2 linked regions of the Stegostoma tigrinum genome follow. The protein of the gene in region 2 purifies or fractionates together with the protein of the main gene of each other region. This does not show direct contact. Links are inferred from orthologs where the notes say so. Each region holds a gene or a part of one and is shown on either strand. Other genes may lie near its edges.

Evidence for each region. The genes of interacting proteins can lie anywhere in the genome.
Region 1: the proteins of eps15 (region 2) and gja1b purify together in Homo sapiens (affinity purification with western blotting; 3 studies listed by BioGRID). This does not show direct contact. The link is inferred for Stegostoma tigrinum from reciprocal best matches to the Homo sapiens genes EPS15 and GJA1.

What each region holds. Positions count from the first base shown.
Region 1 is NC_081357.1:64,036,869-64,043,969, reverse strand, and holds the start of gja1b (gap junction alpha-1 protein), read right to left. Parts: upstream 3,022-7,101; 5' UTR 2,790-3,021; intron 1-2,789. UniProt on the Homo sapiens protein: Gap junction protein that acts as a regulator of bladder capacity. A gap junction consists of a cluster of closely packed pairs of transmembrane channels, the connexons, through which materials of low MW diffuse from one cell to a neighboring cell.
Region 2 is NC_081361.1:63,483,858-63,490,966, forward strand, and holds the start of eps15 (epidermal growth factor receptor substrate 15), read right to left. Parts: upstream 3,011-7,109; 5' UTR 2,951-3,010; coding exon 2,924-2,950; intron 1-2,923. UniProt on the Homo sapiens protein: Involved in cell growth regulation. May be involved in the regulation of mitogenic signals and control of cell proliferation. Involved in the internalization of ligand-inducible receptors of the receptor tyrosine kinase (RTK) type, in particular EGFR.

The sequences.
Region 1 (7,101 bases), on a different chromosome or scaffold from region 2:
GCCCCTGCATTGTTGCTATATTATAAGACTGCTTAACATTAGCTGTAATGAGCAGAGGGTTTCCTCTAATTAAAAACTGGGAAGACTAAAAGTTGTTTTTAATCCCCTCTGCAAACTTTATACCCTAACAACTGACTCTATCCCTTTCCCTGGTAATGATAGCAACAGTCTGGGATTAAGCCAATATGTTCACAGTGTTAGCATCAGATTTGATCCTGATATGAGATTCTACCTTATTATGGCAATTTGAAGATTATCTTTTCCCACTGCTGTAAAATCACCCAACTTCATCCATGGCAGTTCATCTGCTGCTGGAGCCCTCAGTTGTGTTATGTCTGAATTTAATAATCTTAATGTACCCTTGGCTGATCTCCCAAGGTTCATTTCCCTATTACCTCTGTGCTCACTGTACCACATTGGCACCCAGTCAAACAACATCTTCATTTTAAGATGTTCACCCCTTAGTTTCATATCCCTCCATACTCTCACTCTTTCCTGTTGCTTCAATGGTCCCTAGTCGAAGAATCCATCAAGATATCTGCACTCCTTTAGATCTCACCTTTTGTATACCCCTTCCTTAATTGTCCCATCATAAGTGGCTGTGCTTTTCTCTATTTAATCCCTAAATTTCGAATACCCACCCTTCACCTCTACACTTTACAAGAGGAAAGGTGCTTCTTAAAAGTAACTTCTTTCACAAAGCATCTCTTTATGTGACTTGGTGTCACGTTTCGTGTTTTTTTTACAAAGCTCCGTGAGTTGCACTGAGTATTTCTATTGTGTTGAAAAGCTATACAAATTGCTGTGAAGTTGGTTTCTAAGCCAAATTTTATATTTTAGGAGACAATCTAGTCCTTGGGAAAAAGAAATCAAAGCAGCATAGAGTTTGAAGAGTTGTTTTATTTTGATGTCTACATTCATTGGAAACTTTTCGTTTGAACTTGTAACTCGGTGATTTCTCCTGCTCCGGAGTTTGCAGTCTGTGATGTCTGAACTAAATATTGCTTCAGGTTTATTCAAAACCACCTTTCGCGAACAAGCCACCTCATCATGTACAGAGTGTGTCATTTCTAGAGCATTTCGGTGAACACGATCCTTCTTAAAGTCATTTTTGGCTTCTTTCATGAACCGTTCTCCAAAAGAGATGTAATTTTTTTTAAAGGAGATGATGGATTCAGAGTCGATACAGTGCGGAGCTGGAGGAACACAGCAGGTCAGGCAGCTTCAGAGGAGCAGAAAAGTCAATGTTTCGGATTGGGACTCCTCATCTGACTTAGACTTTCTCGCTTCTCCAGCGCTGCCTGATCTGCTGTGTTCGTCCAGCTCCGCACTGTACATGGGCACTTCTTTTTAAAAGGGGTGGCATATTTGACTTCATATCAAAATGCGTGCTTAACTGATGTATCTTTTCTCCAACTTCATTGCTAAGTTTTACAATTTGCATCTAGTGATGGGTAAAATCCCTCTCAGTCCTTGATTCCCAGCCGTTTCACTCTGTAATGGATCTAAAATGAAATTTGCGCTGGCTCGATTCTAACGTGATAGTCATTAACGTGCCCTTATCCGTATACTGAATGGTAGATAATACAACTGTTAATCACACAGGTAACTAGAAAAGTAGTCTGTTGTTTGCGATCGTATTAATGTAATTAGGATTCCACAAACTCACAAGTAACACACATATTTGCTTGACTGGACGTAGATAATTTCCCAATCGACCTGTTCAGGGATGGTGCTATACGCCTCTCTGTAGGATGGTGAGACTTGGAACCCGGGTCACCTCCCTTTATATAGCTCCCGGGAATTGCACTGGGTTTTTCCATTGCTTTAAAAGTTGTATAAGTTGTTGCAAAGTTGGTTTCTGAGTCAAATTTGGTCCTTAGACTGTACCACAGCGCCACAAAATACGCCAATTCTGTTAACTAGCCTATGTACGTTACCATGCATGGCTGGGGCAACGGGTGTAGGGCTTTACGCGGGTCTCCTGTCCTGGGGCGGGGGGGGGGGGGGGGGTCCAGGGACGCTACATCACAAACTCTGTCCTGTCTGAAGGTATATGCTTCACTGGACAAGGGCACCTGCCAACGGGAACCCGGAGAAGTTTCTCTTCACTTCAGCTCAACTGCTCAACAGTACACTTCATCTCTCCGAACTTTGCTTCCCCCCACCCCAAGAGGTAGGAAGCACGGGGACGTGGGGCTGGTTGTGTGAATAAGACTGCTAGCTAATATTTCTAAACTAACCTCGAAGACGGTTGGTCACTTTGGACGGAAAACGTAAGGTTTAAGTCGAAAAAGCCGCGTTTTTAACATCGCCTAGAACTTACTCCAACTCATAGTGACTTTAAGAAATCAGTGCACGTAAAAGATGCGGCTAGATCAGGCTAAATGTTTGAAGGTAAAGAGGAATTAGTTAATGAACAGTAATATCCGTTTCTTTTTCCTGCTCTTGAACGCTGGGACAAGTTAGATTCTGGGCAAGTTTTGTAAATTCAAGTCTTTGGAAAATTAGTGATTATATATTCCTCTGCATGTGGGATCTAAAACAGTTGGAGTGTATTCCATTCATCTCTTAAATGTTCCCGAACAATCCTTTAAGATCAACAGTGCAGGGCAGTTTTGAAACTATTAATCCCTCGAAAGAACAACATCACTTTAAAACGCACGATACGGTGGAAGAGAGTTACTTTCACCAGCCGAAAAGTGAATGTGAACTCTCGGAAACTTGGTTTTCTCTCTCTCTCTCTCTCTCTGAGACAGATGCAGTGAGAAGCAAGCTGTGCAACTTACCCAACAAAGTGTCGGAAGAAAATGTGGACGAGGCTTCGAATTGTTCAGCTCGGGAGCAGTAAAACTAATCGGCTGAATGTTGCACCGCTTCTAGGTGAAAGAGTAACCTGTCTCTAGCCTGTACACTGTCCGCTGCCCGATTTAAAGGGCTTTTAGCTCAAAAAAAGTTTTGAGTCACCTGACTCGTGACGTCACGGCTTGCGATGACCTCCTCTGAAAGTTTCAGGGAACCGGCAGGCTTCGGTCCCCTCTACCCCACCGCTCCTTGCACAGCGGTAGCCCCCGGCTGTTAGTCGTCTATCTATGCTGCAGCCGCGGACCTGTTACAGATTGTGACTGTTACCAGTACATCTCACAGCCCGAGCGTGCAAGCTGCTCAGCATCTCCCTAACATTAACACTGTGATTCAACTGGTGTATATTTGTTAACGCTAACCCCATACTTATTTCAAACAAATTTCAAACTTTTAAAGTCCACGTGGACTGCTCGCTCCTCAAGAGAGTTAAGAACCAGCAGTGTCAGTCACGGAGGCCTGATATTAAACAATACCGTTTACCACCTTTCACTGGTTTAATCTTCAGATCTCCAGCACGTGCCTTTGTTTTACTCCTTCCATAAATGGAGTTTTCTTTGCAAAATAACGTGACTTCAAGAGTAAACTTCCGACGGTCTTTTACCAACTATTCTATCGAGAAGACAAAACTATTTAAAAAATAACTCATTGGTGACGTGTTGATGTTTGGAGATATTATTAAGGTTGAGTGGCAAGTTGACCTAATATTGTAGCAATCCACTTGTGCTCTGTATTGGGATGTAGTTCAATATATGAACTGAATCCTGGACGATTTGCGATTAACTGTTTACTGTTGGGAAAATAAATGCAATGGATATTTTTTGTATTATTCGAGCCAGAACTCCGCTAAAAGGAGCCTGCCCAGAAGCACACAGGAGTTACAACAGAAACGTAGAATTCGTAGTAACTTTTGATTTGATTTCACCGAGTGTGATCAAAACATTTTTTGACTGGCATGTTTTGCATTAGAAATATAGTGTTACAAAGGATTATTACAAAATAACCTAAACATTTGAATTACACTCTGGAACATTGCCAGCTGATTTGAAGTAATCTTATGTCGTAGAATATTGTTAACATCAAAGGCCTAGAAAAAAATCAGTGTAAGCTATTCCCCGTTCGGAAGAAGGATCACTGCGCCCGAAACGTTAACTCTGCTTCCTCTCCACAGATGCGACCAGGCCTGACGAGTTTCTCCTGCACTGAGATAATGGGAACTGCAGATGCTGGAGAATCTGAGATAACAAAGTGTGAAGCTGGATGGACACAGCAGGCCAAGCAGCGTCTTAGGAGCACAAGCTCTGTTTTTGTTTGTGTAGGCCATTCCGAGGTACATATCAAAATGCAAAAGTGCCCGCGTGTGGCATTTTAGATTCTCCACTACCCGGCAAATAAACTGGGATGACAAGAAGAAAAACAAGCAAAATTATCATTTTCCAGGATTTTTTTTCAAGATTGGGCCCGTAATTTATTGAAAGCATGTCAATGATAACGTTCAGTTGCATCATGTTGTTATACCCATAATCGGAGAGAATGGCCCAGCTCTCCAGCAGCGATGCTCGCAGTGAATGTAATCTGGAAGGTCATTTTTTGTACAGTCGCCATAGCTACCAGAACTAACAAGGTGTAGAGCTGGATGAACACAGCAGACCAAGCAGCATCAGAGGAGCAGGAAAGCTGATGTTTCGTGCTTGTACCTTTTTTCTGAAGATGTGTTCAGGCCTGAAACGTCAGCCTTCCTGCTCCTCTGATGCTGCTTCGCCTGCTGTGTTCATCCAGCTCTACGCCTTGTTATCTCAGATTCTCCAGCATCGGCAGTTCCTACTATCTCTCACCGCATAGCTACCAGAAAGATGTTTTCTACAGACGCGCTGCCTGGAATAGGGTGCGGGGTGGGGGTTAACTTAATTACATCAAACATATGCAGGGAGATAAAATCTCTATGGAGGGAAAAACATAGTAATTGCTTTAGTTACGGTTAAGATCGCTATTTCTTTGCCCGGAATATGTTAAACCCCTCTTAATGGTCCTCTGGATCATCGAAAAGCAGAGTTTTAGATTAGATTAGATTAGTTTACCTACAATGTGGAATATTATCTGCTGGAAAGGAGCGATAACAATCACTTAGCTCGAAGGAAGTCATCCATCTCACCGTTCTAAGACAATCTCTGATTGTGGCGCACGGTATAAATTGAGGAGCAAAAACAAAGCTGCTGGAAAAGCTCAGCTGCTGAGCTTTTCCAGCAACTTTGTTTTTGTTCCTGATTTACAGCATCCGCAGTTCTTTCGGTTTTTATTAACCGAGGAGCTACCGGTTCTGGTGCACAGCTCAGGTATATATTGGAAAGTTACTGGTCCTGGTGCACGGTGAATATTGGGAGGTTACTCATTGTGTGGTGTACGGTGTATGTTTATATTTTTATAATTAGGTACAAATATACATAGCAAACGGCTTTGCACCTTCCAGAACTACGTTTAGCCTCTGTAATTAAATTTGGTTTTGAAGGCTACCTGGAATAAATACGAAGGGGTTTGTGCCGTATTATTTGGGTTTGACGTGAATGTGATGTGGGCAGTCGCAAAGTGTGGTGTTGTTGCGCCCCCTCGTTTCTCACCTTCTGGTCTTAATTTCTAGTCCACTGGCGCAAAATTATCTTAGCTCTGAATCTCAAAGATCTGAGCTACATTTTCTTTTCCTACATTATTTTAGTGTTGAAAAGAAGTGTTTAAACTGGCGAAGTAAAAGTGAAAATATTCTGAAGGAATGTCTGCCGAACTTTAAACCACACGCCAGATATGTACGTGCCGTGAAAAGGTGGTGTTAGTAAGTAGAGCTGAAAAAATGAGTAGGGTTGAAGACAACTTAAAAAATTGTTCTGAATACACCAATAACCAGTTGTGTTTATTTACACAGTCATCCGACATAAGCATTTATGTTTATTTCCGTAATGTTGCAGTCCACATTAGGTGTAAACAGCTATCGCTTTTGTCTACATTAACCCCTTTTTGGAACCATACGTCAATATTATATCTTGAGTGAGCTAGAGTGCCAATCGAATTGACCATATAAGGACCTCAGTTGGCTCAAAGGCAAGGATGCCAGTGAACACCTACCTACCCCATTATTAGGCAAAGGCCAGCACAAGTAAACATTGAGCACAGCACATTCCTCACCTCCTGCCAGCTGATTTTACATTCCCAACCTACCAGCCCACTCCCAAAGAGGGCAAACTTTCCAGCTAGAGAAACAAAGACAATCCAGCATGATGTGACAGCTAATAAAAAGGTCCGGCCTCATCCTATATCCAAGTTCCTCAACTAACATTTTGAAGGTTAGCTAAAGTGTGTATTTTTTTTAAATTAAAGACAATGAGGGATTCTGCATCCTTTTAAGCACTTAGGTCAACCCTCTTCCTCCAATAATCTAGGAGAGAATGTAATGCCTCTTTAATCCTTCCAAGATTACTTTAAACAATGTTATTGATGTTAACATTGCTGCCAGTGGATATGGATTCCTGTCACTCTATCTTGGCACCTCAGGTATATACACTTCAGTTAAACATCCAGTCAAACAACCCCACTGTATCCAACCTATTCAGGCCACTGAAAATTGCTAGTCCCTGCAAAATCTTCCTTCAGATGCATTGAACTGTTGGAAAGTCAACATTAAATAACAACTTCAGAGGAAACAAATTGGGGAAGATTTCATGTCTGACCAGCAAACAAAAGCATAAACAAAGTTAGATGAATATTTTTACATCGAGAGCAATAACATTGAATTGAAGAAGACAAACATAGAGAAAGACAAACATACAAGTAGACTATGCAAAGTTTTGTCCTGAAAAGAACAATGAACGACTTAAAGGAGCTTGACATCTGATCTCTTTTTTGCAATGTTGAAAAGTGACCCATGGAAGAACTAGTGGATCTCAAAGTTTCAACAGCATACCCAACCCATCAATCACCTCATGGGGTGACTGATACAGAGTAAAGAGGTACAGTAAAGTTCCACCATAAGCAAGAGTTAATAAATAAATGATCAATTTGCAAGCAATGCACCCATTTTATAATGTGTGTCAATTGGATATGTTCAGTACACAATAGAAGATCAAAGACAATAATAATGCCTTACAGGAAAAATTGTTGAACAAAATAAGAAAAATTCACAATTTGTCACACTTACCTTTATTGTAAAGCTTCCTCGCAGAATATGATAATCGTAACAATGTTAAACCCAAC
Region 2 (7,109 bases):
GGTGGTAGTTGATGGGAAATGTTCATCCTGGAGACCAGTTACTAGTGGTGTACCGCAAGGGTCGGTGTTGGGTCCACTGCTGTTTGTCATTTTTATAAATGACCTGGATGAGGGCATAGAAGGATGGGTTAGTAAATTTGCATATGACACTAAGGTCGGTGGAGTTGTGGATAGTGATGAAGGATGCTGTAGGTTGCAAGAGACATAGATAAGCTGCAGAGCTGGGCTGAGAGGTGGCAAATGGAGTTTAATGCAGACAAGTGTGAGGTGATGCACTTTGGTAGGAGTAACCGGAAGGCAAAGTACAGGGCTAATGGTAAGATTCTTAGTAGTGTAGACGAGCAGAGAGATCTCGGTGTCCATGTACACAGATCCTTTTGCCACCCAGGTTGGCAGGGCTGTTAAGAAGGCATACAGTGTTTTAGCTTTTATTAATAGAGTGATTGAGTTCCAGAACCAAGAGGTTATGCTGCAACTGTACAAAACTCTGGTGCGGCCGCACTTGGAGTATTGTGTACAGTTCTGGTCACCGCATTATAAGAAGGATGTGGAAGTTTTGGAAAGGGTGCAGAGGAGATTTACTAGGATGTTGCCTGGTCTGGAGGGAAGGTCTTACGAGGAAAGGCTGAGGGACTTGAGGCTGTTTTCATTAGAGAGAAGAAGGTTGAGAGGTGACTTAATTGAAACATATAAAATAATCAGAGGGTTAGATAGGGTGGATAGGGAGAGCCTTTTTCCTAGGATGGTGATGGTGCACACGAGGGGGCATAGCTTTAAATTGAGGGGTGAAAGATATAGGACAGATGTCAGAGGTGGTTTCTTTACTCAGAGAGTAGTAAGGGAATGGAACACTTTGCCTGCAACGGTAGTAGATTTGCCAACTTTAGGTACATTTAAGTCGTCATTGGACAAGCATATGGACGTACATGGAATAGTGTAGGTTAGATGGGCTTGAGATCGGTATGACAGGCTGGCACAACATCACGGGCCGAAGGGCCTGTACTGTGCTGTAATGTTCTATGTTCTATAACTCTGGTGAGGACAAATGAGACGAGCAGCAGCATTTCTTTCAATGGTGGAACATGCCAGTTCTAGAAAGGCAAAGATTTGCTACAAGTGCCACAACTAAAGAGAGAAGAGGAAGTCTTCATTTGTTTTTATTTGGCTGCAGAGCCTGAGTGGGATATAAAGACAAGTACTTGCCCAACATCTGCAATTGTCTCCCAACAGTATAGACTAAATTCAAAAGAACATGTACAACTACCTATCGGACTCCACTCCAGTGCTTTTGATTCTCCTGAACCAGAGACACAATGCAGTGGGTACTACTGATGCAGAGCCTATACTTAGTTGATTAACATTAAGGCAAGATTCTATTTTATAACATTTTTTAGGCAATTTGCTCACCTTAAAGCATGTTTTAGAGGGCCTACAAGTGGTTAATGGATACCAGGGCATGTCAACACACTGACAGGCCGGAATGTCACATCTTTGGGGGGGCCAGGGTTCCTTGGAGATAGCCCACAGTTTAGCCAAGGGCTGCAGGTGAATAATTGTCTGGTATCTCCCACAGAACGTGACGAAGGCATATTCAGTCATGGCTTTCAACATGAAACTGAATAATTATCTACAGACCAAAAACGTGCAGGCCCATAGGGAGAAACAAACAAGACATGTGGCTAACTGTGTTGCTCTGGCAGACAGCTGACACATACATGATAGAACAAATGGCCTCCTCATGTACTGTACCCATTCTATGTTGTTACATTTTTCAGGTAATCTACACACCATAACATATGTTTGAGAATGATAAAAGTACGAAGGTGCATGATGCACAACTTGCGTGGAAATAAGGCTGGACAGGAAATGTTAAGTGGAATTCCAGAGTTGAGGGGATGGATTATGAGGAGAAACTGAAACTCTACAAAACAGAGTCTTGTATCTGGCCTTGGTGTTCTTGATGCTGTTTCATGCTCCCCCTATAGCTCCAGGAAGATCAGGGATTATACTCATTGGAATTCACAAGAATGAGGGGAGATATTATAGAAAAGTAGAAGATTATGAAAAGAATAGATATGGAGGAGGCAGGGCGGTTGTTTCATTCAGCAGGTGCAACTCAGACTAGGGGCATAGCCTCAAAATAAAGAGAAGCCGATGTAGGACTGAGGTCAGGAGATACTTCTTCACCCAAAGGATTGCGAATCTGTGGAATTCCCTGCCCAGTGAAGCAGCCTCGTTGAACGTGTTTAAGGCCAAGGCTAGATAAATTTCTGAACACTAAAGGAATTAAGGGTTATGGTGTACGGGCGGGTACGTGGACTTGAGACTCAAAAAGATCAGCCATGATCTGATTGATTGGCGAGCGGACGCTCGAGGGGCTGGGTGGCCTACCCCTGCTCCTCGTTCTTACGTTGTGTTCTTATGTAATGAGAAATACTACAGAAAAGAAACATACTGGTAAATCGACATCAGCTTCAAATGCCAGCATACGCCGTTTCCTTAGTTTTGAGACATTTGTTTACAACTTACATCAGTGTATGTTCCGGGTGCAGTTTAAATGCTACATGGGTCCACCCTCCCAACCGTAATAAAGTGACCGCCCGATCTACCGCATCCAATAGTCTCCTGGCCGCTTGAGTTTACGCAAAAATAAAGGAGGCCCAGCAAATCCTCCAAATCCTAAACAAAATCGCACTTTCACACAAACTACGCCCACAAACTGTTCCCTTTATCCCGGCTCTTGGTGCCTCACAGGCCCCAGTGCAATGGCACCCCAACTGCACAACAATTCATTTCCTCTCAGTCACAAAAGCCGTATTTCTCCAACCAGACCCCACCCCCACTCTTTGTTTCCACTCTCGCTAACATAAATAAATTAAAACGAACAGCCTCGGTGTTTTAAATAATAAGATCTGGTTTTTACCTGAGTGAGTGTAAAATGCCCCGCCATGCTGTTTCCTACACTTTAGCCCATCATGCACTGAACAAAAGTTCGTGAACTTTAACATCACAAACAAAACCTGGCACTGGATTTCGAGGTGGAATAAATTTTCTGTCGAAGTGTATCTCTCTGTGTGAATGTCTGTAAACTCACATCTCTTCGCGTGCCAAAACCAATCTCAAACCCATGCCAGTGACTAAAGAGCAAGTGCGGCCAATTGCTGGCCTGGTGATCATTTATCTCTGAATCTTTCTGACATAGCTCCACAGAGGCCGGCATGCCGTCACCTAGTCACCCTTTATTTACACAAGCCTATTATTTGCAACTAGTCCAATCCACAGAGCCAGTCTCAGAGTGAACAGAACTGATGACATTATTATCACTACATCGCTCCCCTGTAAATTCTGGGACATAGGCCTGTTTTTGCCTTGTAGCCTCTCCGTGCATTTTTGCACTGGGCCTGGTTCCTCCAACACAACCTCCGATACGGGCAACATGTACCAGACCATAGCATGCCTCTTGTGCCCGAAGCATCTTGAAAGAAATTTGTCCTTTTTTTCTAAGCAGTAAAGGTGTTGACGCTGCAACATCGACTTTGTCCATCTCCGACTGAGGTTTCTTCAATGCTGGATGGAGGAGGAAGAACCCACTGGCTTCAACAGCCTTTCTGGTTATCTGAGGGGCCAGCTATGTTTCGCCCCTGCTTCTTTTGTGAGTTTGCATCTTTCATGTGGTCCATATGTTCAGGACCACGTCACCTATCCAAACTTTCTATATCATAGATAATAAAATGTGAGGCTGGATGAACACAGCAGGCCAAGCAGCATCTCAGGAGCACAAAAGCTGACGTTTCGGGCCTAGACCCTTCATCAGAGGCTCTCTGATGAAGGGTCTTGGCCCGAAACGTCAGTTTTTGTGCTCCTGAGATGCTGCTTGGCCTGCTGTGTTCATCCAGCCTCACATTTTATCACCTTGGAATTCTCCAGCATCTGCAGTTCCCATTATCTCTTTCTATATCATAGGACCTGACTTCGTGTGGACCATGTGTCTTACCCATGCAGGGCCATTTCTGTGGTTTCAGTACCAAACTTCATCCCCTGAAGTAAACTGTCTCCCTTGCTTCACAGAGTCTTGTGTCTGGCCTTGTTGTTCTTGATGCCGTTTTATGCTTCCCCCACAGCTCCAGGAAGATCAGATTTAACCTGTTGCAGATGTTTGCTTCCCATTAGCAACTCTGTGGATATTGGCCTATGAGTTCTGTTACTTGGTTCAGAACAAGTGATGCGCTTCTGCTATCTCACATCTACATACTGGCAGCATCGACAATGGCTTGCTGGCCTCAATTTGAAGAGAATGTTAGCTGTTTGGTCGTGGTTTGCTGTGGGCTGACCTATAGTCCCCCAGTTCAGAATATGTCCTGAGTGAGGCTATACAGTTGCCTTCATTCAAGTGGTGTCCTGCAAAATGATTCAGCCTGGGAATAATGTCCACTTCTATTTGCATTTCCTGAAACTCGAAGCTCCACTTGCTGCATTTTCTAATGACAAAGCCAGCTGTAGTTCCTGTTTGAAGTCATTTGGGTTCAGCTAATCGGTGCTTTTGCATGGTTACATCATTAATCCCACGTACCAAACAGCCTCTTAGTATCTCATTAAGGGTTAGACCAATGTTACATGCCTCTGCCTTGTCACAAATCCCAGTGTGGAAGTGCCCAATTCTTGAAATGCCAAAAAAACCCGATTATGTCTTGGAATTAGAGGTAGCTTGGGATGTCAAATATTCCCTAACTAAATCCATCAACTCTTGAAAAATTTGACTATCTGGTGCCTCAGGGAAAGTTAGGGTCCTAATAACTGAAAAAGCTGCAGGTACAATAGCTGTCAGGAGAGTTACTCATGGCTTTTCATCTGCCCCAGTGTCATAGAACATAGACCAATACAGCACAGAACAGGCCCTTCAGCCCTCAATGTTGTGCCGACCTGTGAACTAATCTAAGCCCATCCCCCTACACTATCCCATCATTATTCATCTGCTTATCCAAGGACTGTTAAATGCCCCGCATGTGGCTGTTAACTACATTGGCAGGCAGGGCGTTCCACACCCTTACCACTCTCTGAATAAAGAACCTGCCTGTGGCATCTGTCTTAAATCTATCACCCCTCAATTTGTAGCTATGCCCCCTCATACAAGCTGACGTCATCATCCTCCGAAAAAGACACTCACTGTCCACCCTATCTAATCCTCTGATCATCTTGTATGTCTCTATTAAATCCCCTCTTAGTCTTCTTCTCTCCAATGAGAACAGACCCAGGTCCCTCAGCCTTTCTTCATAAGGCCTTTGCTCTAGACCAGGCAACATCCTGATAAATCTCCTCTGCGCCTTTTCCAATGCTTCCACATCCTTCCTGTAATGGGGCGACCAGAACTGCATGCAACATTCCAAGTGAGGCCGCACTAGCGTTTTGTACAGTTGCAGCATGACATCACCACTCTGGAACTCAATCCCTCGACCAATAAAACCTAACACACTGTAAGCCTTCTTAACAGCACGATCAACCTGAGTGGCAACTTTCAGCGATCTATGTACATGAACACCGAGATCCCTCTGCACGTCCACACAACCAAGAATCTTTCCATTGACCCAGTATTCTGCCTTCCTATTATTCTTCCCAAAGTTAATCACCTCACATTTATCTGCATTGAACTCCATTTGCCACCTTTCAGCCCAATTCTGTAGTTTATCCAAGTCTCCCTGCAACCTGCAATATTCTTCCACGCTGTCCACCCCTCCACCGATTTTAGTGTCATCTGCAAACTTACTAACCCAAGCACCTATGCCTGTGTCCAAGTCATTTATAAAAATCACAAATAGCAGTGATCCCAAAACAGATCCTTGAGGCACACCACTAGTAACCGGATTCCAGGCTGAATATTTTCTATGAACCACCACTTGTTGCCTTCTTGCAGAAAACCAGTTTCTAATCCAAACTGCTAAATCTCCTTCAATCCCATGCCTCCGTATTTTCTCCAATAGCCTACCATGTGGAACCTTATCAGAGGCTTTACTGAAGTCCATGTACACCACGTCAACTGCCCTACCTTCATCCACATGCTTGGTCACCTTCTCAAAAAATTCAGTGAGGTTTGTGAGACACGACCTGCCCTTTACGAATCTATGTTGACTATCTCCAATCAAATTGTTGCTTGCTAGATGATTGTAAATCCTATCTCTTATAATCCTTTCCAAAACTTTTCCTACAACAGACGTAAGGCTCACAGGTCTATAATTACCTGGGTCATCTCTACTGCCCTTCTTGAACAAGGGCACAACATTTGCAATCCTCCAGTCCTCTGGTACTAAATGAGGACTCAAAGATCAAGGCTAAAGGCTCCACCACCCTTGCTTCCCAGAGAATCCTCAGAAAAATCCCATCTGGCCCAGGTCGTTTATCTATCTTCACACTTTCTAGAATTGATAACACCTCCTCCTTACTAACCTTAATCCTTTCAATTCTAGTAGCCTGTAACTCAGTCTTCTCCTCTACAATATTCTCCTTTTCCTGAGTGAAAACAGATGAGAAATATTCATTTATGACATCTCCAATCTCCACAGGGTCCATACACAACTTCCCACTTCTGTCTTTGACTGGCCCTATTCCTACTTTAGTCATCCTCTTATTCCTCACATACCTATAGAAAGCTTTAGGGTTCTCCTTTATTCTACCTGCCAATGTCTGCTCATATCCCCTCCTTGCTCTTCTTAACTCTCTCTTTAAACCCTTCCTAGCTAATCTGTAATTCTCCATAGCCTCATCTGAGCTATCTTGTCTCATCATCACATAAGCCTCCCTCTTCCGCTTAACAAGAGATACAATTTCTTTAGTAAACCACGGTTTCCTTACCTTATCGCTTCCTCCCTGCCTGACAGGGACATACCTATCAAGGACATGCAATATCTGTTCCTTAAACCAGCTCCACATTTCGATTGTCCCCATCCCCTACATTTTGCTACCCCATTCTATGCCTCCTGAGTCTTGCCTAATCGCATTATAATTACCCTTCCCCCTTCTATAACTCTTGCCCTGTGGCATGTTCCTACCCCTTTCCATCGCTAAACTAAACATGACCAAATTATGGTCACTCTCTCCAAAGTGCTCACCTACCACTA